Yarrowia lipolytica: one gene and its partners. The protein of the gene in region 3 interacts with the protein of the main gene of each other region in a pairwise test. Links are inferred from orthologs where the notes say so. Each region holds a gene or a part of one and is shown on either strand. Other genes may lie near its edges.

Region 1 (7,479 bases), on a different chromosome or scaffold from region 3:
ATCTGGAACTGTGTGTCGATGACTTCTCCCCCAGGAATGGTTCTGGCAGTTTCAGTTGCTCTCAGGTCCCATATTCGCATCGATCTATCCAGCGATCCGGTCGCAAGCAAATGAGTGTTGATGGGGTCCACCGAGAAGCCACCAATTTTCTTTTCTCCGAGAATCAGAGTCTCATATTCAGTTGATTTCGTTCGTAGATCTTTTCGAATCAGGTGACCGCAAAGAGTAGAGGCATAAAGAAGATGAGGTTGGGAGTGATTTGCCACGTCCGAAACACCGACACTGGCGTTCTTCTTGGCCTCCAAGTCCAAAACGTCTCCACTCTTGCCTGTTTTCAGCTCCAGACTTCTCACAGAACCGTCATAGGAAGCGGAATACAAAATATCGTTGGAATTTTGATCGAAACAAAGAGCAGGAATGGTAGCGTGGTGCAATTGCAACTGTAGGGGCTCGTTATCGGAATCAACATCCCAAATACCCAACACTCCAATCTTGTCTCCGGCCAAAACAATCCGTTTATCTGTACCAGGATGCACAGCAGTGATGTAGATTCGCTCTTTAGTTACTTTGGACATTTTTCCGAGCTGCAGACCGCTCAAGTTGTCTCTGCTCTGCTTGATGTCAATGTCCTTAGTATCCTCTTCTTCCTTCTTGACAATCTCATCAAAGAAATCTCCCTGACTGACCCTCGATCCGTCTCCAAACAGCTGGCCCAGCGACGCACTCCACTCCTTTTCGTCGAGTCCAGTCTTAGTTAGCATCTCCTTGAGACTCAGATCTCCAGACAGTCGCTCCTTCTTGACTCCTCCATTGAGCTGTTGCATCAGTCGCTTGAGCTCACCGCTGCCTCCCAGGTCCTCCTGCTTCAGTGCGTTTGCCTCGGGATCCAGACCCTGCAGCCGACGCGATTTTCGTCGAGTTCTGGGCGCGGAATCGTCAGATCCATCGTCAGGCGACTCAAGTCGAGCTGAGTTTCGTTTCCTACTCTTCTTCGGCGCAACCTCAGGGTCCACGCTCTCCTTTTTGGCCTCTGTGGGAAGATTCAGAGCCGCCAACAGTGCTTTGTTTCGCTCAATGTTGGCCAGACGAATCTGCTCCAGTTCACTCATTATCGTAATTTTGTCTCTTGGATGTCTAGCTGGTCGCGTCACTGTCGAAAATACTAAATGGCGGTGGTTAGACGCGTATGCATATCCGATGTCCCAAAGTGGACGTTCTTATAAGAGCGGACGGGTGGTGGTACATAGTCGGTGTAGGTCGTGTGAAGACGTTAAAGGTACCAGAACAGTCATATATAGTCTTTGATTTGATTAATATGTTGATATCCTGCTCACTTCCACTACAGCCGCCAAAAAAACACTGCTGTAACGGTCTTGTGACTCCTTCATCACTGTCCAAATCGGGAAACAATAATAACTTAGTTTGGTCAGAAAAGGGATTGCTATGATGGATCAACATTAGACGAGAGAAGCACAAGTATGATGGCTAAAAGTGCATGGACACACGACCTTCAAATCGCCCCCATATGCTTGGTTTAGAAGTGACTGCTAAACTTGTCCACTTCCTGATCTCATCCGAACTACGTCGTAGTTGGTTGTACCCCTCTCCTACACACTCTGAAATACCAAATAATGCTCTATACTATAACCTATTACATATCATGTGTACTTTCCGTTTTGCACTCCTACATGTCCACGTCCTCGTCATCCTCTCCTGGGGTCCACAGACCGCCGAGATCAAACTCCTTGGCCCACTCCTGGACCACAGTCTTGGTGTCCTGCTGCTTGGCGGGAGCCTTGAGGGACTTGGATGACGAGATACCAGGTCGGTTCTCCTCGTCGGCAAGGGCCTCAGTGTACTCGGGAGCCTGGGTCCATCCGAGAATTCGCCCGTCTCTCCAGTCGTTGATGATGTTCTTGGAGGCAGCCTCGAGGTTGGGGATTCCTCCCTTGCCGAGTCGGCCAGTCTTTCGAGCCACGTGAATTAGCACGTTTGTGGTGAAGTCCTTGAAGTTGGCGTGCGACAGAGGGGGGATAGAGTAGTGCTCCATGAACTGCTGCAACAGAGACTCGTCGTTGGTGAGTCGCTTGAGCAGCAGTTGGACAGCGGGAACCTGGTCGACCATCTGCTTAGCAGGAATTGCGTTCAAGAGCACGAGACGGGCCTGCTCCTGCACCTTGTTGGCCTTCTCGGAGGGGAAAACGATACCCGGAGAGTCGAGAATCTTGAGCTTGTTGTCGATCTTGACCTCTCGAAGAGCGGTGGTGACACCGGCTTGGGCTCCGACGGGACAGGCTCGTCCTCCTCCATGGATCTTGGTGAGAGCGTTGATGATGGATGACTTTCCAACGTTAGGGTAGCCAATGACTCCGACAATGACAGACCGCTTAAGCTGCGAGTCCTTAGCGTACTTTTTGAGGGCGTCCAGCAGAGCGGTGGAGGTGGACTGCTGGGTCACGTTTTTGTTGCAGAGCTGTCGGCCGGTCACGGGACCGGAGTTGGCAGCTCGCAGGGGCAAAGTGGGGAAGGTGAGTCGCAGAGTGTTGACCCAGTTCTGCAGGTTCTCGGCAGGGATCAGATCAACCTTGTTAAGAATGAAAATAAGTCGCTTGTCGGGATTGGACAGAATGGCAGATTCGACAGCTCGAGACCGGGTTCCCTCGGGATCTCGAGAGTCCAGAACGTAGAGAATGACATCAGCCTGGTCCACAACGGTCTTGAAGATCTTGTCGAAGGCCTTTCGCGAAGACTCGTTAAACACATCATCACCAGGGTTGACCTTGACATCCAGCTCCGTAACCTCGCTCTCCATCTCTTCGTCCTCGTCATCACTGCCATCGTACTCCTCGGCAGCAGCCCGTGCACTGGCCAACAGAGCAGCCATGGGGTTGTCCTCAAATTCCTCCTCATCAGGCACGTCCTCGCCTCGAGACCGGGCCTCAGCTCGGGCCTGTCGAGCTTCCTCCTTCTTTCGCTCCTTCTCGGCCACCTCGGCCTGTTTCTGTGCGTCCAGCTGCTGCAAAAGCTGCTCCTTGTAGGGGAAGGAGTTGGGGATACCGAGATCCTTCTTGTTTTTGGACTTCCAGGTCACGTCCTTCTTGGCGAGCTTTCGCTGTTTTCGACCATGGGCGGCAGCCTTCTTCTTGATACCCTCTCTCAGTCGAGTAGAGGTTCGCTTGGATGTGGGGGCCTTTGGTTTGGGCATTGTGTACTGTGTGTGGAGTGGTTCTCAAATGCACGCTGAATATATTTTCAAAAAAAATTCAAACTTCAAAACCTTATCGTCCAAGGTGCAGTGTTGTGGGAGGCAACTTGTGAGTGGCAAGATAGGCTTGGGGTGTAAACATAAGGAAAGAGGTTTGCTTAAATAGTGGAACTGGTTTATTGGCTTATTTGAAAGCGATTGTCAATTTCACTTTTCTCCCAGTATATCTACATCTTCGGTAAGATAGGGTGTTACGCGAGCTCTAACCTCCATGCTGTCTATTGGGTGGAATTATAGTTACGTTGTTGTTACATCTTTAGTTGAACAATATACCTGCATCTCTCTAATACATACTGTAGTGTCTCTCCCACCGGCCTAACACACAGTTCATCATTGACGGGAGGTGCCCGACATTCCTGTCTACATGCCACTTCAAAGTTTTCCACGACGGTGCGACACTCAGCTCGGTAGACGAGATTGTAGAACCCCCGAACAGTCCCCCGAACCCCCCTAGGGTGACCACTCTCCATGAGGTGGACACAATGCTCCGACCGGGGCAGAACCAGTAAGCATGTCTTTCACCTCTACTACCACCCCTTCTAAAGCCCCATGTAAGAGCACCCAGGCCAAAATGAAATCTCCGAATGTTAAAGTCATCACGGCTAACATCGGCGGTTTTAAGATGGCGGAAGCGCTTAACCGATTACCCGACACCATTGTAAACATTATTCGAACTACTCACTACCCCGATCTCGTCCTTCTTCAAGAGACGAACTGGGTGGACTCCTCCCTACAAACCGCTCAACAAATCATTTCAAACTCGCCCTACCCGGGGGGCAGACACTACACCCTCCTCGGCTCCACAGCTGGTGTTTCTAATAGAAGCGTCGGCGTGGGGCTAGTCTATTCCGACAACGTCACCATCACAAACTTTACAACAGTTTTTGAATACTTCCCAGCCCTAGACAACAGACTGTGTTTGGCCGACGTGCACATCAAAGGCACCGACAGACACCTATCGCTGATCAACGTATACGCACCAAACGAGCAGGGAGCCTCCCCCTTCACTAACCGGCAGTTCTACCAGTCACTAGACGACTATCTACGCCTCCATCCCTGCCAATACCCCCTGATAGCGGCAGGCGATTGGAACGCGGTCGCCTCCAACGACGGCAGGATTGGCGAAAAAGTGACGACTCACCTTAAGGACTTCTTAGCTAACTGGGACTTACTAGACACCTACACTCTAATCAGCAAACACAGAAAAGGCCTCTACACTCACACCAACAACAGCCGCGGAGCTGGCAGGCGCCTGGATCAGCTGCACATCTCTTCGACACTCTCACAGTGGATCAAATCCACACAACTGGTAACCAACAAGCAGGGTCACAACATCACGAAGTCCTCTCACCACGCGGTCCAATTCGTCTTTAACTTTGGCAACCTCACCCAGCGACAAGACAGAGGCCCAGGCACCTGGAGGATGCCCTGGTGGGTTTTTGATACAGAGTACATTGCTTGGCTCAAGTTCCACGTCAAATCCATTCTGAAGCGATATGGTCCTTTGAAGCCCAGCCTGAAGCTGCAATGCCTGAAAGAAAACATTAAGGTCACCATCCAACAGGAAGCCAAAAACCGCGCACTTCGAGATTCCAACCACCCAGACAACAGACGCCGCGAGGCCCTCATGGCAACAGCCTCAGACTGGCAAGCCTACCCAGCTAACGAGCCATACCCGATGCTCCATGCTCGGGTCGAACAATCCAAGCAACAGATGGAGATCCACTCCCTACGGAACCACCAAGGCCGAGTGAAGACCGACACCTCCTCTCTCTGCGACATCTCAGCTCGATACTTTGACAACATCTTCGACAGAGCTGCCGATATCAACGACACCGACGACAGCGCCTTTTTAGACCTCTTCCCCGAAGAAACCCGGAGGGTGAATACAGCTAACCCAAGCCTGGACTCGTCTTTTACCAAGGAGGAGATCTTCGATACCATCAAGGCGTCTACGCACAACAGCGCGCCAGGGCCAGACGGCATCCCGTACAGGTTCTACCGCGACTGCTGGGATGAGCTGGGGGACTTGATGACGGACGTCTACAACGAAGCTGGAGCCGACTCGCCCATCAGCACCGAACGCAACACCGCTATCATCAAACTACTGTACAAGTCGGGAGATCAGGCCGACATCTCCAACTACAGGCCTATTTCTTTGATCAACACAGAGGTGAAGATCTACACACAGCTCATTAACAAAGCCATCCAGAACATTCTTCCGGACAGCATTCACGGCGCCCAAAACGGTTTCGTACCGGGTCGACACATCACTAACAATCTCGACACCATGGATCATTTTTGCAACGCCTACTCCCAGCTGAACATGGGTTGGGTCGTAGGATCACTGGACTTCCGGAAAGCCTACGACACTATCAGCCAGAGTTGGGTGATAAAGACGCTTCGAAATGTGGGTGTCTCGGAACTGATGATCAACCGTATCCTAGCTGTACAACAGAACGCAGTAACGAGAATCAACATCAGAGGTGTCCTATCTCGCCCAGTCCGCATCAAGATCGGAGTGAGACAAGGATGCCCTCTCTCTCCAACCCTCTTCATCATCGCAGTAGACGCACTTGTGCGTCGTCTGGACCGAGAGATGTTTGGACTGGCCCCAGGCCTGCCACTATCCCACCACCACACCACTGGGCACAGGCCGCCACAACCCCCTACTCACCCGGAGGCAGTGGCAGCTGGACACATGAAGGTGTCGGCTTTCGCGGACGACATAGCGGTGTTCCTCAACAACATCCAGGACGTGGCCACGGTTGGTAGAGTGCTCTGCCTCTTCCAACGGGTCTCAGGCCTCACACTAAACCCGTCAAAGACGGTGCTTCAGAAGATCGGCCCCCCCGATTGTTTTGTTCCACTAACCTTTATTGACGCAGAATGGCAGCGAACAATTGACGCCACCTGGCCAACCGACAACAACACACGACAGGCCCCGACGCTCCGGACATCTGACAACATTTTCCGGTACCTCGGAGTACACTTCGGAAATCGCGAAAGGTTGGACACGCACTACGCTCAGATCAAGGAGGACCTCAAGGAGTCGCTGCGACGCCTTTCACTATGGGGTCTCCCCTATTACAGCAAGGCGTGGATGATCAACATCTACTTCTTCTCGAAACTGAATTTCCTTGGACCCTACGTCAGCCAGATCGACAACACCTTCATCCGAGAGCTGAACGAACTAGCGTGCGACAAGATCAACAAATTATCACCCGACAAAACACGCAAAACCTTCAGCAATGGTTTCATCCAAACTCCGGTAGGCAGAGGAGGACTGAACCTGCGGGACATGGGACGTTTCATGGTGTGCCTGAAGGCCGCTCGGGCTTACAGGTTCTTCCATGGCTCATCGCCGGCCCTTTGGGACTGCACCTTCCAGTTCTACAGCAGAACTCACAGTCTCACACAGGAAAAGCCACACCAGCGCGTCGACTGCCGCTTTCCGACAGGCCAAGCTTGGGGCTACGCAGCCTCCCCCACCATGCGAGACGCAATCAGAGCTTCTTTCGAGCTCAACAAGCCCCTCACCGCGGAACATGCCAACCCTCGAGAAGATCACGAGCCCTCTACAACAGACACAGTTAATCACAGAATCTGGGAACGAAACCAGGTGAACGTGAGAGCAGCAGAATCTTTCCGGGAAGCACACGTCGACATCGCAGCCGCGAGACGATACCATCCGGTCAGAATGGTGTCCACAGCGGAAATCGACCACCTCCGGTGGAGCATGGGACCACTTACTCTAGAGAACTTCATGTTTCACAAGACCTCGTCTCCCGACTTGCCAAACTTCCCACACACACTTGCACGACCGAAGAAGTGGACTCAACGAAGCGACTACGGGGGCATCTCTGACGACATGGTCTGGCAGGAGGTAATGCATGACCTTCGAAAACACTACATCGCCGACGCCAACAAAGCACAAGTTCTTCACCTCATGCGGATATCTCGACTTCCGCTCGTGAAATGGAGATACCCTGACGACCACGTTTTCACCAAGAAGAATCCAGGATGCGGGCTCTGTGATAAGGCCATCATTCAGGATCTGCACGAGCATATCTTCTGCAAGTGCGAAGTTCTTCTTTCCATGTTGACCAGGATGAAGATTCCGTCAGTGGACTCTCTAAAGGACTGGATCTTTACCGAGTCGAAATGTGGAGTACTCCCCTCTTTCCCAGGGCATGTGAACAGTGACGCCCCCC
Region 2 (7,923 bases), on a different chromosome or scaffold from region 3:
GAGAGTGAGGACAAGGTGGAAAAGGGCGAGGTCAAGGACAAGGGTGTGGGCAGTGACGACGATATGGATTTGGATGATTTGTTTTAGCCGAGCTCGGCAGGGTGGGAGTTGATATGGAGAAAATCCAGACCCGAATCTATTCCGTTCCACACCAACGACAAAGTCCGATGGGTCCGCTCGTGGTCCGTTCACCAGAGGAGTCGACCTGTGAACTTCAGTCATCTCTCTACACTGCTTCGATATGCCACGGGACCTCCACCGTATGTCGTCTAACAACGGTCTGCATCGGTCTAATGAAATACAATAATTTATTCTGGTTCTGTACGAGTAGTGGAGGGTGTGTGCATGTTGTCATATGACTGGCATAGTTGTCCACGTGTTCAGTTTTCACGTGACCGGAGCACAAGATCGAGTAGTTGGTCACGTGTCCAACTTCCGCGTCTCACGTGACGACACTATGATACTTTGGTTCTGTCTGCATGAGATTCATTGACTTGGAGGTGACTTCATTCTTCCAGAGCTACATACGGTCCGTCCCCTGAAAAGAAGTGCACAACCCAGCCAATAATAAACCTATCGACGGTTAACAACAAAACAATTGTGTTCACCTGAACAAGAGCTCTTCAACGATATAATTTTTACTAATGTTCTGATTATGTAACCGTCACAAATGAGCAGTCTTGTGCAGAAGAAAGGCTTCTGTATATGGCACCTAAACAGACAATGTATATGAACATTGGGATTTAATAAACGACCCCGAAAGACATAAAAGCAGAATAAAACCACAATAATCGCCTGAAAAAAAGGCTTTGGAACACTTTGGAACACCTTGGAACCGTTTGGAACCCTTCTGACACCCCATTCAGGCTTCAGTACAATTTTCAGAATTTTCACGGACATTCCACTTTAATCTGGCCGACGAGCGTTTGTGTCTCCAACTTTTGTAATACCAGCACTGGAGGGATAAAAAGTAGTTTACTAAAACCGTGTCGTTTCGATGATTAATTTGGTACTAATTCTGACAAAATTGGGTACAATTAGAAAATAGGACAGATAGAAGTGTGCTCACACCGGAAGACATGGCAAGCTTGAGAAGAGAAGCGGTCACGCAATGTGGTCAAGCGACTATAATCACTTGCAGATGCTCTAATCACGTGCAGATGATCTAATCACGTGTGGATACTCCAATCATGTGACTGAGAAAGGGAGGAAGGAAGGAAGGGCAGGGAATTTTGGGAGACTGGAAGGGGGTTTTGGGAGCCGTATCTGGAACAACAAAGGGTAACGACTTTGACTTGGTCACGTGACCAGTTCTTCATAGCCAGTATAGAACTTTTGGAGACGTTGTCAGCGCTGTTTGGAGTTGGGTCCAGATCTTTCGAGACATTCAGAAACGCTGGTGTTCTCAGAAAGCTGGTCATGGAGCACTCAGACATTAGTACATGTAATGATAAGGCGTTGAACAGCCGGGAGAGTCCAGTCTCTGCTGGTTTGAGAGCACGTGATCCAAACATTGGAGTTTCCGTCACTTTCTCAGCTGAAAGTACCAGACCTCCGTGAGAAACCAGATCCACTTCCCCCGTTCAATGTCAACTGGAACTGTTACAACCTTCAGCAGCAATCTGCTTCTTGGGCAAGTGCCTACAACTTGACGAGGTCTCCGGTATTGTCTCCAGAATGACTCAGTGAGCTTAGGGGTTCCATCGGCATGAATGTCCGAAAGAGTATCCGTTCTAGTTCCACATGATTTTTTTGACTGTACTGGCTTGTATGTATGATACGATCCGAACTGGTGACTTGACGACCGCGTCACGTGACTCGGCGACCACATCACGTGATCCGCGAACTGTCATCGCTACAATGCTACAATGTCAGAGCTACAATCGTTACAGCTGACCAGACCGACTCTCGTCACTCAACTCGCCTATTCAATCAATGCTCAATCTATTAATATAAAACTTTTCCGTGATCCATCTATCTAATCCAGGTGACGACCAAGTGAGTACCCAACCAGGTTGGTTGGAGACACTGAGCCGACCAAATCAATACCGTAATCAATACCGTCCATGTCTTGAATCCGACTCGGTTTCGGACTACGTCCTCAAACTTTGTCTATCTCCAATCATTCGATCCAACAGTTCTCTTTCCGGAAAACAAATGCTTGGGCTTGGTCTCGGCAATATGTCGATCGGCCTCTCCTCGTCGGGCCTTCATGTTACCCTTTCGCTGGGAGTGCTTGGCCATTCGGTCGGCCTTGGATCGCACGGTGGTGACAATACCATCGTCTCGTCGGTTGGACTGGCCCAGGGGCATGAGGGACATTTCCTGGGTGGAGACGGCCTCGTTGAGGAAGGTCTGGTGGCCAGACACGTCGTCGGAGGCCTTGGCTTCGGCCAGGGCGTTGGCTCGGTCCACCACCTTAGACGAATCGAAGCCCACTCGCTCCAGATGCTCCTCCATGTCTCCCAGCGACTTTTTGGTCTTTGTTCTGGGGATGGCGGCCTTGTTTTTGAGTGACTTCTTGGACCGGGCCGTGTTTCGCATCATTTTGATCTTGTTTCGCAGCCACTGGGCCTGCTCGTGGATATCCTCGGCCTCGTCGTCCTCAATTTCCTCCTCCGAGTCGTAGAAGCCCTCCTGCTCGAGTTTCTCCTCCTCGTCCTCCAGCGCCTGGAGCTTCGAGGCGATATCGGGGTCGATGAAATCGTAGACATTTCGGCCGTTGAGCAGCTCGGGCATAATGTCCTTCTTCCAGGCCTCGTCCTCCAGCAGATAATCCTTGGACATGTCAATGGAAAAGACTCCAGCGCCTCCATTTTCGTCCTGAATGTCCCGCATCAGCTTTCGTCTGTTGGGGTCGTTCTTGTCGTACTTTTGCAGGAACTGGACCGCCTCAGGCACAGCCGAGGGCCGCTCAATGTCGTCTCGCTTGACGGGCTGGGCAATATGGACCTGGTTGAGCAGATCCGAAGAGGCGCCACCCTTGACATGACGCAGCTTCTGCTCCACTCGAGCCGCCAACAGCTTCTCGCACGCCCGGTTTCGCACCTCCATAAGACCCTCCTCGGCATGGCACGACAGCTGCATAATCTCCACGTCGGGCTGGGCAGCAATGCCCTTGAGAAGCTCCTGGTTCTCCTCATCCAGATCCTCCGGTCGCTTGACGTCAATCTTGTTGATGACCACAATCACCTGCTTGTTGGCAAACAGCGGCTTGATGGAATGGAACAGCTTGACCTGCTCGGCCACAGAAAAGCCACACTGCTCGGAAACGTCCATGAAATACAGCACACACGACCGAATGTGGGCAATGGCGTAGATGGACTGCATTTCAATGTTGTTCATCTCCTCGGTGGGACGGTCCAGAATACCGGGAGTGTCAATCGCCTGGAACCGCAGATACTTGTAGTCGAAATGGCCGACATACAGAGACTTGGTGGTAAACGCATAGGGCTGGACCTCGACCTCGGCTCGAGTCACAGACTTGAGGAACGAAGACTTGCCAACATTGGGATAGCCACAGATGAGCAGGGTTCGAGTGTTGGGATCGATGGAGGGCAATCGACCAAGATGCTGCCGAACTTGCTCAAGATAGACAAGAGGGTCCTTAAGCCGCTTCATAATGGTGGCCATACGACCAAGAGCAGCCCGCTTGAGCTGCTTGCACTGGAAAAGAGACTGACCAAACTTGAGCAGACGCACGTAATCACGTGACACCTGATCGATGAGCGACTTGGCTCGGGACAGGGATGCCAGAGACACCTTGTAGTGGTTCTTCTCGTACAGGGTATCGAGCAGGTCTCGATGGAACGGGTGGATTTCGTTAATGTTGGGGAACGACGTGACAATCTCGTTGAGCTTCTCCACAAATCCGTCCGCTGTGAATCGCACTTTTCGCATGTAAAACGCCCGGATTCGCGAGATTTTGAACCCGGCTCGAATTACCGTGGGCGTCTTTCGCTGCGTCCGGTTCAGCACAATGTCCAGAAACTCGCTCTGGTTCGGAATCGTCGGAATATCTTTCCACGTTAGTTGCATTTTTCCTCGTTGAAAGTTGAAAACAGTAGAGTGTGTTGCGTGTGTAGAAAGTGGAGGATTTTTTTTTTGGGAGCTGACGCAGCTGCATAAAACTTTTAAGGTTAACGTTTTGGGATATGCAGAGGTTATTATGGTCACGTGAGGTGGCAATGACTATAAAATGAGTACGGGTACGAGTATGAATACCCGTAATATCGGGATGAGGAGTCATGTGATCGAGATTGGTCTGAATTAGTCATTGTATGTTGATTTTTTTGGCGCTGGAAAACAACACTACAGATTGAGACCGAGTTTTTTTTTGTAAGGCAGGCACTATATTAGCCTAACTAAACTCCCATGGGCTGTGTGTAAATTTTGTCGGAAAAAATGGAAAAAAATGAAAGAAAAATAGGAGAAATATAAATGGTATAGTTTTTGTTATTGAAAAATCCATATTATAATATTCCCCCAATTTATTCCCCATCTAACAGTCTCAATCATCTCCATAGATCCACCTTTTTGCCTTTCTAATTCACCACCCAAACTCTCCATTTTTCTGGTCAAAATAAGCTTATCGGATCGATGGCAATGTCTTCCAGGCGGCCCAGAAAAGAGGAGAAGGGCGACTGTACTGAGAGTGGAGGAGTCTGTGCGATGTGGCGAATCAACTGGCGTTTTTTTCCGACTATTTTTATTGTTTTGGAAGAGTTATCGAGGAGTTATTGAGTAATTGAGTAATTGAGGTTGGTTTTTTTTTTTTTTTTTTTTTTTTTTTTTTTTTTTTTTGAGTAAATTCGAAATTTCGGAGAAATTCAAGCTATTTGGGTGGTTTGGGTAGAGCGAGGTTCATTATATGGCCGTTGAATAGCGCACAATATATATTTGTACACGTCTCTATAATTTGCAAGGAAATGTTCTGAAGTTTTCATTTTTCTTGTCATTTTTCTGAATTTATTCTCTTCTTCTGAAATTGCTATTTTTACTGAATTTCCTGAAATGTAAGTTTCTGATAAATTCAAACGATTAGATTATTCTAAATTATATTTAATCAAATAAAATCTGGAAAAAAGGAAACCTCTAGATATCGATTCTGTAAGTCTCACAACAACCGTCCACATCCTCCTTCTGACCACGCCAACTCCCCAAACGACCCCCAAATGACCCCCAAAGGAATCCCCACTATCATGGCAGAAACACCGCACCTGAACTTAGACTCGCATCACCGGACTTGACAGCATCTCCAGAACTGTACCACAACAGAACGGTACCAGCAACACTTCTCACAACCCACATGTCACTCAACAGCACCAACTCAACATCAACGTCGGGCATGCAGCTCTGCGCCAAAAGCGTGCAACTGGTACTCACCGAAACCTCCAAGCCCTATGATGAGGGCCGATCTCCGGTGCGATACGAGGCGACTGGAGTGACAGTTCTGATTGACGCCACTCGGGTCATTGTGCAGTCGGACTCGGACAACGCGCCCCAGCTGCCTCACGTGGTCGCGTTCAAGCTGGACTGTGTCAATTTCGCCTCGCTGGAAATTCCCATGACCAACATTCTCAAGGTGCAGCTGACTCAGCCGTGGTTTGGCCCCAACTCGGTGGACATTTCGTTTGTGGCGATTCCCAAGGCCGAGAGAGGCCTGCATCTGGTTCCCGGGCTGAGACGGGACGGAACCACGTGGCGAGCCGATCTGTACTTTCGCGAGGGTGGTGCCATTGAGTTCCAAAAGGTTCTGGCGGAGAAACACACAGCGTTCAGGGAGAGAGTCCAGAGACAGGTTTCGGTGGCGCGAGACGGCATCGAGCCGGATTTGCCACAGTACGAGGCTCCTCCTGGTTATGAGGAATAGATGGTGGGATGTGGACGAAACACAACAACCGCTTGGGTCTTATCCGACTGTTGACAGATAGACACTCGACTCAGGATACTGGTGGTTACCCATTTCTCCATTTCCCAACGTTTTCCTTCACGTTTGTTCCACGCTCAAGGCCTCTTCTCCTCGTTTTTCTAACGGTTTTTTTCCCCCGCTCAAGGTCTCTGTCAAGGTCTCTTGTCAAGGTCTCTGTCAAGGTCTCTGTCAAGGTCTCTGTCAAGGTCTCTGTCAAGGTCTCTTCTCTACCGCCCACCACCCTACCCAATCATTCGGCCACTCATATACACAACATCAAACGAGTCCCCTGAAGCGGAGAGCCCCACAAGTATAAGAAAGAGTTGGTGCAGAGACGCTTCACACATTCCGCAGTTTTGAAACTCTGAGACGATCGTGCCCTAAACAGAACCTGGGACCCGCGTCACCCAGTCTCACGAGACCCCGACAGCCTCTTTATACGTGTACGGTATATCGAGATAACTTATTGCATCATTTTGCCATGAGATGAGACAAGCATAAAAATGATATTTTGATGATGGTTACGTGGTAATACCCAGCCAGGCATTGAAAGTATATCTGCTACAGACTAATGAGTGGTGCCATTCGACAGCTGGAGCCCGACCGATCTCCACAATGTATTTCCTTAACCCAGGGCTACTAAATTGAAAATATGGAAGTACACCAAGATCGAGGAGGTCTGCTCTATGAATGTTGAAAGTGGGTCTTACGGTTAGATGCTTATAAAGCTGTCTTATTGTAGTATCATAGTCCCGTGACAGGGCTAAGGGGTCCGTAAGGCGCACTTTGGCGCATAGACTTTACGGTATATCATCCGGAACAGCCACATTTTTTCATTTTCAGCATTTCGAGAGCTGATTGAAGCGGAATTGGAAATGTAGACTCCGGAATGAGGCAATTTCGAAGTCCCCGTGTCTCTAGCTTGTCTGTATCGATTTCTAAAGTCGTTACACATCATGGGTTAGCTCGACAGTATGTAGGTGTCTTCACAATTGCCAAATGCGCATCTTGTAGTAGAAGATATGTATTCCTGGAGTATTTCCATGGTGCTATACCACCAAACATCCGCCCTTTGTTGTCATGGTTATTCCATTGCTATTATCCCTCGTTGTTAACGCCAGTATATATGTCGGAGTCATCAAATCAGGACCAGGATGTACTAAAAATGCTACAGATTCCATTATAAACACTCAAATGTATAGTTTCAAGTTTCTGGGGGCATCCAATGAGTGGTTGAAACACGTCAGTCAACTCCCCAAACGTCCTATGTGCTTCCTACACTAAGTATCAATGATATTCATACGACCTTCAGTAGGGTGACCGGATGCACAGCGAGACGATGAAACTTCAGATTGAAAAGTAACATGAAGTTGGAAAGTCGTCAGTAGTTGAGAAATGTCATGTTAAATCCATTACCAAAGTCTTTGATAACCAGATTTATTCTCTAGTCGAGTTATCGTCATATTATTAGATGGTCTCTTGTAAGACCTGTTCCCAAGGCAAGAAGAGCAATCGAAAAGAAACTGGAACGGATAAAACTCTCAAGATAAATAAAGTAGAGAAAGATCACTTGGAACCCGCAGTCCTTTGGATTCTGTTGTTTATCTCATACAAAAACACTCCATGTTCACATCTTTTTACTCAACAAAATATTAGCCTAATTCCAACAAAAAGCTAACTACTGGCTCAACTAAAACCCAACACAACATCCCCCAAGATTGACACAACCAGACTTATCATAGTGCCAATAACATCCACAAGTGAATTTCTGCTAAGAATGTAGATCTTTTAAACCCCCCGATATACTCATAATCCCTTTTAGTTCCTCGGAACATCAAAATACAACCCCCAGAACAAAACCCCCTTAACAATTTCCCAACTAACAATAACTAAAGAAATAACGGAAACAAAAGTACCATTCAAACAATCCTGTAGTAACCGCAGCGACTCAAAAACTTCCCACACAGCTATTACACACCTGATAAACCTCCTTATCAACTCCCCAACCATCT
Region 3 (8,152 bases):
AGAAAAGATCACAAGACAAAAACATTAAGAGAGGCTATGTAATACCTATCTGCTGACCCCGTTGTCCTTAAATGGTGTTTTGTCTTCTGTTAACAGTCACCATCACTGATAGAGTTACATGTCCAATAGATACATAATTACTGCTCCTACCAAGATGATAGTTATACCAAACAAAACAGAATGATTAGCGCTATCCATCCGTATGATTTTTTCTCCAAAAATAACCACCAATCTACCCTCAAACACCAGTATTATCACCCAAACTCCCCAACAAATTGGCTTCCAATTACTGCACATACCCCACCAAAATATCCAAAGATATTATACGCACATTCAGAGGGGTCCGACATGTCAACTCAGGACGTAATGTTGACTAATGTATGAGTACAGTATCTTACAACTATCTTATTACTCATCAGATAGGCAGCTCAACTACGTCACGTGACTGTCAAAGTACAGTATTACGTAATTGAATACATCAAAAAAACCTCGGCAATTCTAGCTCTTTGGATGCCGCCGTATGGCTATCGTACCAACCGATGTCACCATAGCGACTGTTTGATTACATCCGAAAAGAGTCACATGATATAATAATCAGCGTGGTCAACTATTTTTCGCGGTTATTATTCAACAATACGCTGTCCTTCTGGTCGCATTGTTTTGCTGCCATGTACGATACTTGTGCCACCGTCCAATATTTGGTGATAGCCAGATCTGAAAACACCCAATAGTCATATTAAAATAAAATAGATGTAAATAGCTATAGCAAATGGTAGGTACTCTGCTTTAGTACGTACGGTTCCCCTGAATATCATGCTCTCATCTTGCTTACGCTCTCCAGTAGATGGTCATATACGGTTAGACTGGCAAATCCATAACATCATTATCCAGCCCTCCCCAGTTGTCCGAATACAGCTCAGCGTACTTGATCTTGTCCACGCAAAACTCCTGCAGCAGCTTGGATATCTGCAACTGCGTCTTCTGGAACAGGCCAATCTCCTCCGTAATGCACTCCCTGATCAGCCACGTTCGGTTCTTGTGGGCCGCAATCATCTCGGTGTCCATCTTGATGGCGCGGTCCAGCTTCTCAATCTCCGACATGAGCGCCTTTCTCTGCCGGGCCAGAGTCACACGGCCCTGGTTCTGCTGGATCCGCTTCTCCAGCAGCGGGATGTTGTTGCCTCCGTACTTTTCCAACCGGTCAAACAGTTCCCGCATCGAGCCCAGCGCCTCCCGGTACTTTTTGGCCTCTTCAAGCACTCCCACCTGCGAACCTCGTGCCTCGTCCTGCTGAAGCTGGCAGTCGGTTTCAATGCGTGCCGAAGCCCGACTGAGACCCCGAGTGATCTGCTGGACGCACCCGTCATCGGCGACAGAGTAGAGCACGCGGGCGGAGGGAGGAAGAGCTGCGCCAAGGTTGTATGCGATTTTGGCGCTGTCAACAGCCTGGGCCTCTTGTCGTTTAGCCACTCGGTCCAGAAGAACACACAGCTGAACCACGGAGTCGTGCGATCTGTCCAGCTCAACAATGAGACCGGCCCATAGAGCAGTCGCCTGCTGCTCATCCCACTGTTGCACAAACTTTGGATCAATCGTTCGTCCGTTGAACTCTTCTCGGGCGGTGTTGAACACACTCTTTTTCCAGCCGCTGATATCGTTTCGCAGGGTGACAAAAGTTCGCACTGCCTCATCCTGGCCCAGCACGGGGTGCCGAAGAACTTGGTTAATGAACCGAGTCAGACCTCGTCGTCGACGTTCCAAAAAGTAGTTGTCGGAGGACAGATAATGACCGTTGACAGCCAGTCGCTTGGGCGGCAAAAGTGGCACCTGTCGAAAACAGTACTTCTTCAGAAGATAGTCTTGCAGCCAGGAAAAGTCCGAGTACCGTCGGATGACCGTGATGCGGTCTGTTCCCGACACTGAAGAGATTGAGTAGTTGACGTGACGGAACAAAAACATGCCCTCGCGTTCGGGCACAATAGCCAGTGTCACTGAGTCGGCCTTGTTGGGTGCGAAATCGGGTCGTGGAGGGGCAGTCCATACTCCAGACTCGGACTCGGGAACCAGGGCCTGGGGGTTGAGAGGAGGTGGGGTTGTAGAGCGGGACAGCTGCGATTGCGACAGCTGTGACTGTTGTAGAGCCTCCTGTTCCTCCGGGTTCCAGTCCAGAGCACTGTGGCCCCTGCTGTGTCCGTTGTTGTGGATGATGCTCTCACTTCTGCTGCTCTGGATGCTATGGTCGTCGAGATCATCTCCAAACAGTGGCGTCTGTGATCTACCGGTTGTCGAGGCGCTAAAGTTGATGCTAGACCGCTCGCCCTCCTCGGAAAAGTCCATTGGCGTCAGAGTGTCCACGTTGACGAGCTGCGATGGGTCGTCGAACGGCAGGCCATCCTGCGCCACATTGGCCAGCAACAGGGCTGCTCGCCACGACTCGCGAGTGAAGGACGATGTGAGAATGCCTCCGCTGCCGTCGCCGCCCTCCAGAATCGATCCTGCCAGCGTCGCCAGCCGGTCCTTGTCTTCGCCCGAAACGTTGATGGTCTCCAAAAGCCGCTTGTAGCAAACTGCGGGAATCCGGCCGTCTATGGGATGGAACATGTCGAAAATGTGGTCGTAGCGCGAGCCATAGCCCGTTCGCTCCACGGCTGTAGTGGCCGCCGAAAACAGAGACATGGTGGTTGTTGTGGCGGTGGTGGTGGTGTTATTGTGGCGGCTTGAACCTGGGTCCTGTTTACCACTTCTCTTAGCGTCACCGAGTGCACCCCTAATCAACTCTATTCGATAGAGTTCGTTATCCTCATCCGTCCCAACATGTAATTTTGACCTGTCGATAGAACTAAAACAGAATAAAAAAAGAACAAAAAAGAATTCGACCCACCGGGGGGGGGGGGGGGGGGGGGGGGGGGAAACGCTCTAGACGAGATCTAAGCGATAATAATATCGAGGCCACGAATAGCCTGATTGGATATACACTGGGTGCTGTTTTGTAACTGGCCCTTTGGATCCCTCCAGAGTATTGGTTCTGCGCACTGTGACTACAATCAGCACTCTCTATAATACACATCGTCGTTGCTGACTGCTGAAGTAGTAATTGCGTACACTGTCGACTTCACTCGCCTGATTTTGACATCTGGATCAAACAAGTGAATTCCACTGCTCTGGAAGACTCTATCTGATACCACTATATACATCCCTTTGCTCCAGCAGCCCTACACTCCTTATCATTGCCACTGTCATTTTATAGCATTTAATCTCCGCTAAAGTCACCCTTACAAAGGAGCTATGACAGCGGGGTCGAAAAATGTAGAGTATCTGGCATCTGGGTGATGATCACTGTCGGTAATCGATGGAATGGCTTTACGACGTGAATAGTCCGCTCTTTCTGGCCATCTTTGCCCAGAGACACGTTGATTGTAAAAACTATTTTTACCTGAGAAATATAAGTAACTTTGTTGAATTTAATTGATGGATCTAAGCTGTTATTCTAATTTCTAACTATATTACTCACGACAACTCATACCCCGAAACTCGGCCCATCGATCGCGCCGTGAGAATGACTTTACACTAGTGAATGGATCGCGAATGAGCAATTTCGCTTCAGTCCTTGAGTCTAGAGCTTCTTGGCCATTTTTTTTATTCTAGGGAAATACATTTCAGCTACTTGAAGCCTATATGCTATACCCGCACATAGGACCCGGGTTAGGGTGTTCAGAAAAGCACATAACCATCGTGTTCTCGCATTTTTGCGTTCTCCTCCTTTTCCCCCGCTGACTAAACACCTTTTCGATACCCTTGACCAAAGTTTCGCACTTTTTCACCGCCTGGCTAGCTCAATCGGTAGAGCGTGAGACTCTTAGTCCATTGTATTTCAGATTTGAGAATATCTCAAGGCTGTGGGTTCAAGCCCCACGTCGGGCTTTTCTTTTTGCCCCTTGGAGCGAGACATACTACTGTATGTACTGTACTACAGTATATACTGTGCATAATGTACTTTTGTTGCATCTCTAGTTCTCTGTCACCCTACTCGTTCATAGACTTTAGGCATTCATTTTCTATATTATCATACTAATGCAGAAGCAGCGAGCCCATACTCCACTGCTCTACGGTGTTAATTAGTCTATCAACAACACTGTTTGTTTCCTTCAAACTTGAAGGAACGCTTACTTTCCTCCCTTCTTCTTTCGCATTCGCTTCTGTCCAATGAGCTTTCCGAGCTCCAGGTTCTTGTCCTTTTCAGGCTGTCGAGACTCATCCTTCTTGTCTCCCCCCTTGCCCTTTCGGTCACCCTTTCGGTCTTTTCGATCTCCTCGGTCTCTTCGGTCTCCTCGGTCTCTTCGGTCTCCCTCTCGTCGGGGTCGCTTGTGTTCGGAAGAACCCTCGTCCGCTCCTCCCTCGTCGTCCCGATGTCGCTTCTTCTGCATGTTGATTCGAGCCATAGTCTCCTTTCGTCGCTTGACAACCTGTGCGTTCTCAATTGCAAACTCAGCCACCAGGTGACGTCGCGAAGAACCAGTAAGATCAACGTGTTTTCGCTCGTTCTCCTCGTAGCCCTCAAGAACCTCCTCAGTAGACACCTCGTGAGCGTTCAGCCATCGCAGCGCCATGAGAGCAGCCTTGTGGTCTCGGAACTCCAGGAAACCATATCCTCGAGATCGGCCCAGCTCTCCGCTCTCCTTCTGCTCCATAATCACCTTTGCCTGTCGGACCACTCCATGCTTGGACTTGGCAGCCTCTTCGGTTCGAGCCTTGGTCGACCGAATAGCCTCCTCCTTGGACAGAGGCTGTCGAGCACCCTCCTTGGCTTCAGTGGCAAATTGCACCACGGCCTTTCGACCCAGAGCCTTAAGACCCTTCGCGTTGAGAGCTCGGGGCAGGTTTCGCAGAGCCAGACGAGTCAGGGACACGTGCAGACTGGGGTTGCCGTTCAGCTGTTTCTTTCGCTGGTCGTATGACTTTTGTCGCAGCTCCATGTCGGCCTTGGGCAGAGTCATACCCAGAGCAGTGTTCTCGCCGATTCGACCCTCGTTGATCAGGAAGACGTTTCGTCGATCTTTCTCCTTGGGCAGCTTACCCAGAGCCTCGGCTCGCTTTTTCGAATTGTGTTCAGACAGCTTGTTGGCGGTTTCTCGCTGGACAGCCTGAGTGACGGCCAGAATTCGGCCCTCAAACACGTACCGAGGGTCGGTATCATCAGCAACAAGCAGAGAAGTGGTGGCTGCAGCAGGAGCTCGCTCAACACACTTGTCGCAGTCGTCGGATGATTCGAACGCAACAAAGGCAGTTCCTCGGGGCTGGCCCGTGGTCTTGTCAATGACAGGAAGAGCGTATCGAACAGCACCAAAGTTCTCAAAGTGCTCCTTGAGGGACTCTGCTGTGGCATCGTAAGGAATGTTTCGCACAAAAACGGTCGAGGAGTTGGATTGGGCCTTGACCTTGGGAGTATCATCCTCCTCCTCTTCCTCCTCCTCATCCACCTCAATCTCGTCTTCGTCATCATCGTCACCCTCGGCAACATCGGCATTGGACTCATCCAGATCGAGATCTTCCTCCTTGACCTCATCCTTGACCTCAGTATCCACGTCCTCGTCCTTGACCTCGTCCTTGACCTCGTCCTCGTCGTCGTCATACTCCTCGTCCTCGACCTCTTCTCCGTCCTTATGTTTCAGCCACTTGTCCTTCTGAATGGCAAAGTCAACGGTAACAGTTCGCCCGTCAATCTCAAGACCCTTGCTTTCGGCCACAGCCTTGTCAGCATGCTGCTTTTTGCTCATGGTCACAAATCCAAACCCACTCATCTTGCCTCCAGCTCCTCGGGGAATAAACGCATCGACCACCTTGCCGTACTTGGAAAACACCTTGATCAGATCCTGGGGCTCCCGCACCGACCACGGCAGGTTTCGCACAATTAGTCGCGGCTTTCGCTTCTCCACAGAAGTATTGTTGTCTCCACTGCTCTCAAACGGCCGGTCCTCTCTGGTCTTTCGCTCTCGAGGCTTGGCAAACTCGATCTGAAGAATCTTGCCCTTGAGCTTCTGCTTTCGGCACTTGAGCAGCGCCTCCGCAGCATCCTCCTCGGTCGTGAAAGACACAAACCCGAACCCCTTGGACTCCTTGGTCGCAGCATTGGTCACCACCACGGCATGCTTCACGGGGAAGTCCTGTGAGAAAAAGTCCGCCAGCTCCTCGTTCGTCACCTCCAGAGGGATGGACCGCACAAACAAATCCGTCTTGCCCTTGTCCACCTTGTCTTTTGTGTCTCGAACCATTTTTTTGAAACGTAGTTGTGTGGTGTAAAGGGTGTAAATGGAAATCGAAATCGGTCCAGGAAAATTTCCATATCATGCATATTTTTTTTTGCCTTCCAAACCTTAAAAAGACTGATGCCCCGGTTTGGAAGTGATATTGGTAAACGAGTAAACATCTAATATGGGAGAAAATTGCAAGTAATTTTATTAAAAAATCAACAGTTCTTATCCTGAAGCTCGTTTCACTACTCTTGGACACTTTTCTTGCGTGTATGTTTGCTTGATTAGTCAGCCACACCGAAATCGTGCGTTTTGGAGTGTGGAAACAAGACATAGTGATCATAGAACAGAGCTGAGAGAACCATTATGTAGATTTCGTCTGGGAGATTCTTACGCTATCTTTTTCCCCTAATTGACTTCCAATTCAGGACAGTATATAACGGAAAACGATGTAGTGTATAGAAGGCAAGATATCACGCCCTAAAAACCGCTACAAACATATATATCACCTTTGTGAAGAGAATCACACACTACAACCAACGAGATATCCGTCTCTAGCTTACCGTATTTTCAAACTCAGCTCTCTAGGGGATGTTTTCCCGGATCCCGAAATCACGTGATCTCCAATGTTGACATAGTCTTCCAGCATGCAGGTCGCGATGCGATGGAGACGCGAACACAACACAAGATACACCATGAAGTTCAATGGCACGTTAAGGGACCAGATGGTCCTGAAGCAGACCACGAATTTGCGACGAAACGCGCTCAACAAGTGTTCTCACAACACGCTGTACAACCTGACTCAGCTGTGGCTGGGGTCTAAAGACTGTCTGCCGCTGGTGGCCATCAACTCTCAGGACGACTATTTATTCGACTTGGACGCGCTCTCAGACGACGAGGACGACGCTGAGGCCGATGAGGGGATTGATGAAGTGGAGGAAGGCGTTATTGTGGCTCGAGGTGGTCCCAAGTACGAAAAGATCATGGACGATGCTCGTAAAGAACTGACTGAAGGAGTGCAGTCTCGAAAGGCATACATGCAGCTCGTGGGACAAAAGTACTGGAATGCCGGTCTCAATCTACTGCAACTGGCCCAACTGGACATTTGGGGAGACGTTTTTGAACGTCCAGAAATGCTGGTTTGGAGCTACAGTACAGTGAAAGATTCTGTCGGTAAAGAGAAGGTACCTGATTTGAGCATTGGCACCATTGCCACGCGAATGAGTGAGGCAATCTATCCTGCCTTTAGATGCCACGTGCACGCCATGCGTCATCCTGAGCTGCCTGTCATTGTGGTTCGTGTCAAACCATATGACGCTGCCAATGACGATGCTCGTTTGAAGCCCCTGTACCTGGTGTTTCCCTACCATTCGCCTCACGTGATTCATCTGAGCATGGATCACGTCTACGCCCAAACAGTTTTGCATGCTGTCACTCAGAGTGTCACTACTGTGGCTGACCCTATCTCCTTGGTCCGTTCCAGCGCTCTCCCCACTCGTTCTTTCAATACCCTGGTGACTACTCTTTCGGACAACCGAAAAGCCGCATCCATGGGCTCCTGGTCCGTCTTTGCTACCGGAGAAGTCGACCAGTCGCCTCTGGCCATGGTCAAAAAGCCGCCTGCCAAAGTGGCCAACTCCAAGGCCAACAGAATTGCGGCGAAATTCACCTCAAAAAAGATCACCGAGCCTCTGCAGTACAGATCGGAGAATCCTCAAAGCATGGTGGAGTTTAGAATTACCCGGAACTCGCGGAAAGTGACGCTACGGATGGAGGGTACGGATGTGTACGCTGGTGTGTACAGAATGGCCATGAGGGGGGACATTAATGATAGAAAGATGCCTGCTTGGATGACTGGAGAGGAGAGCAGTACTAGTGGAGCGGTGAATGATGGGGCTTACAAG
Region 4 (7,717 bases), on a different chromosome or scaffold from region 3:
GCGTACATCGACCTCCTTCTCGACAGCCACATCCTCGAAGATCTGGGTCTTGAACTTGTTCTTTCGCAAAATCTTTTCGCAGCCATTGTGAGGGCATGTCACTGGGCCGTAGGCAAAAAGTCGATCCACACACGATTCGCACATTTTGTGGTAACATTGAGGATTGACTAGAAATTTCATATCCGGGTTGAGGTACCGCGAGGATTTGCAGATCGGGCATATATCCCCATCTTCACTCATATTGATAGCTGTTGTGGTGGAGGTGTGATGATGATATCGTGCCAAGTTGACCGTCTAATAAGCTCCAAAGAGCACCTGGATGAGCTGCAAGCAAACCCAACTTGATTTGGGAGTTTAGCCTGACAACCGCTGAGCTCTAAACCAGATGCATAAACGCTGAGAACATGCAGCTTGAAGATGGAATGTGTTATAGGTACGTACAGTACGACAGTGTGTACTGTATCTACTCGTATGATGATTAGTTTGAAAAATCACTCATGCGATATTGTGTGTCATTCTGGTAAAATCTTTTTGGCTAAAACGCCTCATTACCACGTCTCAACCGTAAGTCTTTCAAAATAAGACTCAGCGATCTCTAAGTAGCTATAGGGGTAGCTCATGGAAGTCTCTCTACAAAGGTGAATTGCCACTCAGTCTGTAATCTCCTTGGAGTTGTCCAGATTCTTCCAAAAAGGCTTGCCGGTGGGTTCTCAGAATCTGACTTGGTAAAACCCCGCTCACATCACTCATACCCCGCAAGTACGACCTTCCTAAGGTGCGGTTGCTCCCGTGTTCAGTTGGCAATAGAGTTGTTTACACCAGGAACCTTGTCTACATTCTCATCATCTTATCCAGCACACTTGACCATGAAATGAACAGAGCAGCGTTCAGACAGGCACTGCGAATCGTTTTCCCAGGCGTAATTCTCGGACTCCTGGGATATGGCACCTACGCATATTGCTACATTCTCTGCTGGAACCTCTACCACCACATGGGCTACCGGGCAGGGCTGGCTCTCCTGATTGTCTATTGCATTCTCAAGACACTGGTTTTCATCTACTGGGCCGCCGTCGTCATTGTTGGCCCTGGAAAGGTGACTGGAGTGTCACCTTTGCAAATTTTCATTCCAGGATCAGAAGTGGTGGACGAAAAGGCTCAGGCTATAGTATCAAGGCAGATCAACCCCAAGCTGCCAGATACTTACATCTGCGATGGTTGGGGAATGCCCAAATGGTGCTCAGAATGCCAGACACACAAACCGGACCGAACACACCACTCGGCTATTGTGGGACACTGTGTCCCCAAGATGGACCACATGTGTTTCTGGGTGGGCACAGTGATCGGACAACACAACTACAAGATCTTCCTACAGTACACGACCTTGTTCTCGACATACTTGATCTACACATTGGTGACGACAGCTGTTTTCACCCCTAGAATGGGCCAATACAGACGCGACAGGGGCGCGCCTGACTCTATTCCTAACGGAAACATCATAGCTCTTCTGATTCTCACAGGTGCCTGGGCCGCATTCTGCACCTCTGTGTGTCTCCAGAGCTTCTGGGGAGTGTGTCGGAACCTTACCGCCATGGAGGGTCTCGGAAGAAAACAGGGAGACATGGTTCTAGTCAACTTCAGATATGAAGGCAAGAGAATCATCCAACCTCTGCGAGAAGAGGACCCGCTGCCGTTCGACCAAGGCTTTGCAAAGAACTGGAGACAGGTTTTTGGAACCAACCCACTCATTTGGTTCCTTCCCTTTCCAGTCGTACCTGCTGCAGAAGACTACTTTTCCAATGCTTACGGACAGAAGTTCCTTGAGCGCATTCCAGCCAGGTGGCTGGAGGGTGACGGACGGGAAATGGCAGCGGTTTAGGACCTTGAAGGACAATTATAATCGCATAATACGGCTACACGCATCATCGGGCTGGCCAACCGAACATTTGAGATCTCATATTAAACACTAACATCAATGCATTGGTATATCTAAGTATGTATACATACTAATGTACAGGTACTCCTTACAAATACTGGAACCAGTACTGACAAGTAATTCTCAGCTAAGCGTATTTGAATTGTACAGATATACTTCTATTGCCATGCACCACTCATAATTCGTTCTAATGTCGTTTTATTACTTTCCTTATCCACTATCTATTATGCAATCTACCGTGTGAACTTCTTTCCGCCGGGTCCACCTCTCTTCTTGTGGTTGTCCTTACCCTTGATGCTCTTGGCGCCCTTACCGGAAGCTCCAATGGAAATGTTCACCTTGGGAGGCACATTGAAACCGAAGGACTTGGCCACCTTGACCAGATCGAGCTTGTCGATCTGGTAGACGGTCTTGAGGTGGTGCGAGGCGTATGCTTGCAGATAGGCTCGATATCCGTCCTTGGCAGAGGTGTTGAGCCAGTAGTTGGACGAGATGAGCTTCTCCAGCTGGCTCTGCACGTTGGCAATCTTCTTGTTGGGGAACTCGTACTCGTTGAGAGGCACCTTGGCAGCCTTGAGGTATCGCAGGAAGCCAAGCTCGGAGGGGGTCAGGAACATGATGGACTTTCCGGAGGCAGAACCTCGGGCAGTTCGTCCGACTCGGTGAATGTAGTCTCGGGGATCATCCGGAGGATCGAACTGGATAATCCAGTCAACCTTGGGAATATCCAGACCTCGTGCAGCCACATCAGTGCAGATTAGAACTCCCTGCTTGGCGTTAATGAACTCGAAGAAAGTGTTGGTTCGTTTCTGCTGCTTCTGCTTGCCGTGCAGATCGAGAACGGGCAGATCGATGTAGTTGAGCAGCTCTCCGTAGAACTTGACCGAGTTACAAGACGAAAGGAAGACAATGATCTTCTTGCCTGCGTTTCGCTTCAGGAAGGAGAACAGCAGCAGGAACCGCTTGTCAGAATCGCACACAACGTAGCCCTGCTCGAGACCCTCGGCGGTGGAGCTGACGTTGTGTTCGTCGACGTTAAGGTAGAGGGGACCCTTCTTGAGCGAAATTCGGGCCAGATCCTCGACCTTGGTGGTCTGTGTGGCTGAGAAGAGCATGGACTGTCGCTCCTTGGGGAGAATCTTGATAATCTCCTTCATTTCTTGCTCGAAACCGATCTCGAGAATTCGGTCGGCCTCATCGATAATAAGAGCCTTGAGGTTCTTGAAGACAAAGCCCTGGGAGTTCTGCAGATGATCGAGAAGTCGACCGGGGGTACACACCAGCAGGTTGACTCCCTTGTTGAGCTTCTCTTCCTCCTGTCGTCGGTTATTTCCACCAATCACAATGCCAAGGGTCTGGGAGTGGTTAGCCATGAGATCTCGAGCCACTCCGTAGATCTGGAGGGCCAGCTCTCGGGTGGGAGACACCACAATCACACCAGTACCGTTTCGAGGCTTGAACTTGAGTTTCCGCAGCATCTCGATGGCGGGAATCAGGAATGCCAGAGTCTTACCGGATCCGGTCTTGGCAGCTCCCAAAACATCTCGGCCAGCAAGCAGAGGAGGGATGGTCTTCTCCTGGACTGGAGTCATGGTCTCAAATCCCATGTCCTTCAGACTCTGCATGGTGTTCTCAGACAGAGGAATTGTGCTGAATGGCTTTCGCTCGGCGTCTGAGGCAATGTGGACAACCTCAGCGTCAGCGGGCGCAGTAGTGACAACGGCAGTGGACTCCTCTTCCTCGAGATCAGAGCCCTCTCCGTCATCTTCCTCCTCGATTTCGACGTCCTTTTCATCGTCATCGCTCATCTCGGAGTCCTCATTTCCGTTGGTCTCCTCCTCGTCTTCCTCCTCAACGTCTCCCTTCTCAAGGAGACCCTCAACCTCATCGAACTCATCATCGAGCTCATCAACCTCGTCCTTGGACTTGGAGGGCTTGGCGGACTTGGCGGGCTTGGACGAGGGCTTCTCGACCTTGGCCTTCTTATCGGCCTTGCCCTTCACCACGCTTCGGGCTTTCTTTTCGACTTTTTCCTTCTTGGTCAGACCCATGATTGTGCAATTAGGAGTGTGTTCCAATTTTTTACGCCTTTCATGCAATATCGAGAAAAATTTCGAACTGTAAAACTGTAACCTTATCTGCTCATAACATGTGTTGTATGGTGGCAATGTACATGCAGCACTACAGTACTCATAGCATTACGAACAAAACTCGCCTATTAGTGAATAACAGTCCAATTCAAAATATTGAGATTCGAATCTATATAAAACGTACAAGTGTCCTACTCAGTTGTGTAGGACTCAAATCACCATTGATCGTAGGTGTACATACTGTAGTATGCTTCGCTAGTCGTCATATAGTTAGCTGTGGCACCACACAATCCCCTAATCAAGAGGAGTATCAAGCCCGAGATCGGAAGACTTCTCAATGATAGGACTGGACTTGAGCTCAAACTTGGCTCCAGCATACTCTTTGGCCAGGTTGAGTCCAAGAGAGCCATGGACAGTATTGTTGTCATCGACAATGTACAGACCGTCGAGACCCTCAATCTTTACCAGAGAAGAAGCGGCGTGGTTGTCAAGGTATTCATTGACCTCTGCCTGGGTCTGGAACGTCTTGTTGCCTCGAGGAGTATAGCCCAACTGCTGGAGGCTCATTTTGGGATGGAAGTTGGAAAGCACTTTATGTTTGAATGTCCCTAGATCAGCTTTGTCTTTCGAAGAGTGTGACAAGAGCTGCTAGAGATGATTGTGAAATGTCGAAGACGGTTTAGACGGTTGACAAGGATCCCCACACATTTGCCACGCATTGTTGCTGTAGTTATGTTACCCTTACCCTTGATTACAGTTCGATAAGGTACGTTGAACGAGGATCTATTGGTATGGTTGAGGTCACGGGAGTGGTTGAGGGAGTTTCTAGTCCGGTACACTTTATAATTTTCGGCCCGTGATTACCATTTGACAGGATTTGGTGACAGATCACCTCAACTACTCTCTCTGTTCGTATGGCCTCCACTATGCAGCATTCATGCATGAACGTTCATCTAAACACCGTTTTAAACATTCTGAGACTCGCCTTCAAACACGCCTCGCACACAACTTCAGCCATGACAACAAGAGACCGTCAAATGACCCAGCTCAAGTCGCAGCTCGCGCAGCTTGAGGCTAATCTGGTTGACATGAGCAACCTCATGGAACGGACCACAGAACAAGCATTGCACATCAGAGAACTCGGCATTCTTCACGCGTCAATGTGAGTATTTGAGACATATGAAGGAGCCCACAAGCCAATGCTAACCACGAGATTCATGTCAGCACATGCCGCTTTCGAAAATGAGACGTTTCAGGCTGGCCAGGCAGAGGAAAAGATGATGGAGTCTGAGTATGAGGAGTAACTAAAGCTATTACGCGTCTCAACACAGTCAACCCACCCCATATTTATACAGTGTCGGAAAAGCACACCCAAGCATCCATGTTAATATATATACAAATAATAATTACTTATGGTACTATATACACTTTGGTTTTAAGTAGTCTGTAGGACCTTTATGCGCGGAAGATTTTACTGGCTCGGTTTCCACCCTTCTCCTTGCCTCGTTGTTGGAACTTGACCATCCACGCTCGCATTCGTTCACTTTCCTTCTGATTGTACGTGTCAAACGCCTCAGGAGTAGCTGCGTCGAGCATGACCTTACCTTTTTTTCCGCTGACCCACTCGTTGATCCACCGCAGAGCAGTTCCAGCGTCCTGGTTAGGAGTTGACCGCCACTTGCGCCGCAGTGCAACAAGAATATCGTTGATATCGTTGGTGGGAGGACACAGATCACGGTAACTCTTGGGATCATCTCTGTTGAGTGCGTACAAGAGGTAGTCAGCCTGAACGATAGGATCAACAAGACTCTCCTTGATGCACTTGAGAAGGGCGAGCTTGATCATAGTCTCACTGTTGGCAATACTTGGCATGAACAGACCTGGGGAATCAAACACAAAGATGTTAGGGCTGTCGCATACCTTGATTCGGTTAGACAGAGCTCTGGTGACGCCCGCCTGCTGTCCAACGGGGGCCACAGATCGCTTCTTCCCCTGCATCTTCCAATCATTTGTCTTTTCTACCACCAACCGTCTCATAGTGTTCACCAGAGTACTCTTTCCCACATTAGGCATGCCACAAATCAACATATTGAACCCCACTGGCGGTGGAGGGTCGATTTTCTGGAACACTGTGGCTGCGTACTTCATGATTTTGACTGCTGCTTGTCTAGATCGGCAATCAATCTGGAGATAATTGCCCTGAGGGTGCCATTGTTTGAGAGTCTCATCATCCAGAAGGGAGGCGTCACTCTTGGAATACAGATAGAGTCTGTTTGATCCAATTGCTGACGAAAACGAGTTGGAAAGGAGCACGTTTCCTGTGCTCAGTGGTGCCCTAGCGTCTCTCAACTCCAGAGTGAGATGAGGATGCATGGACATGCCCTTCTTGAGGAACTCTTTGTGGAAATGTGTAAAGTTTGAAGTTGAAACTTGAACTGGGTCGAAAGATGTTCTAGGGACAAATAGCGACTTGGGTTTGTCCTGTTTCTCTTGCGATATCTTGTTTGGTCGCTTTTGGGTGTCTGTTGGGCTTCCTGATCTGCTCTGTGTAGCCACTGTCGAGGTAGATAGCATTCGGATGCCTCTTCTGGTGAGTAATTCCGCGCCGCAACGGCAAATACTCGCAGCCATATTGACTTGGTATTCCCTCATGGTGATATGTGTAATGTGGTAGTGGCGTACACCGATGCTTGAAAGTCTGCATCAGATGCACATAAAATTCATTAAAGTTGGCGAAGAGCTTGTACAGTATATCGGAGAGATGACAAAATGTGCACATAACAGATTTTATAGAGATTTTGAAAGAAAGAAGACAATATTAAAGTAGTATTTGTTTTCTGCTTTAGTTTCTTAACTCGAAATTTGACTCAAATCATCGATTACTAGGCCCAATATAACGCCTCCCCATTTCACATCAATCAGTGGAAAGGAACTCTAAAAAATCAAATGCTCAAGAGCATCTTCTCTCACACACACTTCTCCACACAATTATCACACACGTCAACTTGCGACATGCCTCTTCTCTTGATCACAGGATACCCTTCCGCGGGTAAGACAACCCGAGCCATGCAAATAAAGGACTACTTCGAGAAGAAGATCCAGGAGACAGGGTCGAATCTGACAGTGGAGGTGATCAATGATGAGTCTCTGGGACTGAGCAAAGACTCGTACAAGGAGAGCCGGACTGAAAAAATGACCCGTGGCGAGCAAATATCTGCTGTTAAACGGTTGGTTTCCAAAAACACCATCGTCATTCTCGACAACATGACATATATCAAAGGATTCAGATACCAGCTGTGGTGTGAAGCAAAGGCCGTGGCTACCAACTATGGAGTGGCACATGTGGGTGCTCCCGTTGATGTTTGCAAGGAATACAATTCAATTCACCCCAACAAGTGGGAGGACGATCTCTTTGACGCCCTAGTATTCAGATATGAAGAGCCGAATGGAGCGAACAAGTGGGATTCTCCTCTCTTTACCATTCCTCATATTGACAAAGACATCTCTGGTGAGGAAATGTGGAATGCTTTGGTTCACCGAAAGGTTCTAAAACCCAACCAGGCAACTGTGCTAAAGCCTGCCACGTCTACTGACTACCTCTATGAGCTTGATAAGAAGACCCAGACCATTGTCAGCGAGATCCTTGATATCCAAAGAGACAATGTTGGAGGTCTCGTGAAGCTAGATGGTGGTA

What was found.
Region 1: the proteins of YALI1_A03757g (region 3) and YALI1_F28744g interact in binary tests that used the Saccharomyces cerevisiae proteins (3 or more experiments, as listed by UniProt). The link is inferred for Yarrowia lipolytica from reciprocal best matches to the Saccharomyces cerevisiae genes NOP4 and NUG1.
Region 2: the proteins of YALI1_A03757g (region 3) and YALI1_B01698g interact in binary tests that used the Saccharomyces cerevisiae proteins (3 or more experiments, as listed by UniProt). The link is inferred for Yarrowia lipolytica from reciprocal best matches to the Saccharomyces cerevisiae genes NOP4 and NOG1.
Region 4: the proteins of YALI1_A03757g (region 3) and YALI1_E02317g interact in binary tests that used the Saccharomyces cerevisiae proteins (3 or more experiments, as listed by UniProt). The link is inferred for Yarrowia lipolytica from reciprocal best matches to the Saccharomyces cerevisiae genes NOP4 and HAS1.

The regions. Positions count from the first base shown.
Region 1 is NC_090775.1:2,870,222-2,877,700, reverse strand, and holds YALI1_F28744g (uncharacterized protein), read right to left. Parts: upstream 3,206-7,479; coding exon 1,685-3,205; downstream 1-1,684. Other genes in the region: YALI1_F28765g (uncharacterized protein), read right to left, coding at 1-1,109; YALI1_F28739t (uncharacterized protein), read left to right, coding at 3,777-7,479. UniProt on the Saccharomyces cerevisiae protein: GTPase required for 60S ribosomal subunit export to the cytoplasm.
Region 2 is NC_090771.1:165,856-173,778, forward strand, and holds YALI1_B01698g (uncharacterized protein), read right to left. Parts: upstream 4,039-7,923; coding exon 2,113-4,038; downstream 1-2,112. Other genes in the region: YALI1_B01644g (uncharacterized protein), read left to right, coding at 1-87; YALI1_B01711g (uncharacterized protein), read left to right, coding at 5,309-5,872; YALI1_B01719g (uncharacterized protein), read right to left, coding at 5,958-6,138, 6,182-6,258; YALI1_B01725g (uncharacterized protein), read right to left, coding at 6,433-6,695, 6,739-6,757. UniProt on the Saccharomyces cerevisiae protein: Involved in the biogenesis of the 60S ribosomal subunit.
Region 3 is NC_090770.1:369,442-377,593, forward strand, and holds YALI1_A03757g (uncharacterized protein), read right to left. Parts: upstream 6,270-8,152; coding exon 4,164-6,269; downstream 1-4,163. Other genes in the region: YALI1_A03721g (uncharacterized protein), read right to left, coding at 859-2,676; YALI1_A03763g (uncharacterized protein), read left to right, coding at 6,896-8,152. UniProt on the Saccharomyces cerevisiae protein: Required for 60S ribosomal subunit synthesis. Probably involved in the processing of 27S rRNA to produce mature 25S rRNA.
Region 4 is NC_090774.1:228,026-235,742, reverse strand, and holds YALI1_E02317g (uncharacterized protein), read right to left. Parts: upstream 3,985-7,717; coding exon 2,167-3,984; downstream 1-2,166. Other genes in the region: YALI1_E02355g (uncharacterized protein), read right to left, coding at 1-240; YALI1_E02348g (uncharacterized protein), read left to right, coding at 872-1,876; YALI1_E02305g (uncharacterized protein), read left to right, coding at 5,040-5,185, 5,237-5,327; YALI1_E02290g (uncharacterized protein), read right to left, coding at 5,479-6,675; YALI1_E02287g (uncharacterized protein), read left to right, coding at 6,970-7,717. UniProt on the Saccharomyces cerevisiae protein: ATP-dependent RNA helicase involved in 40S ribosomal subunit biogenesis. Required for the processing and cleavage of 35S pre-rRNA at sites A0, A1, and A2, leading to mature 18S rRNA.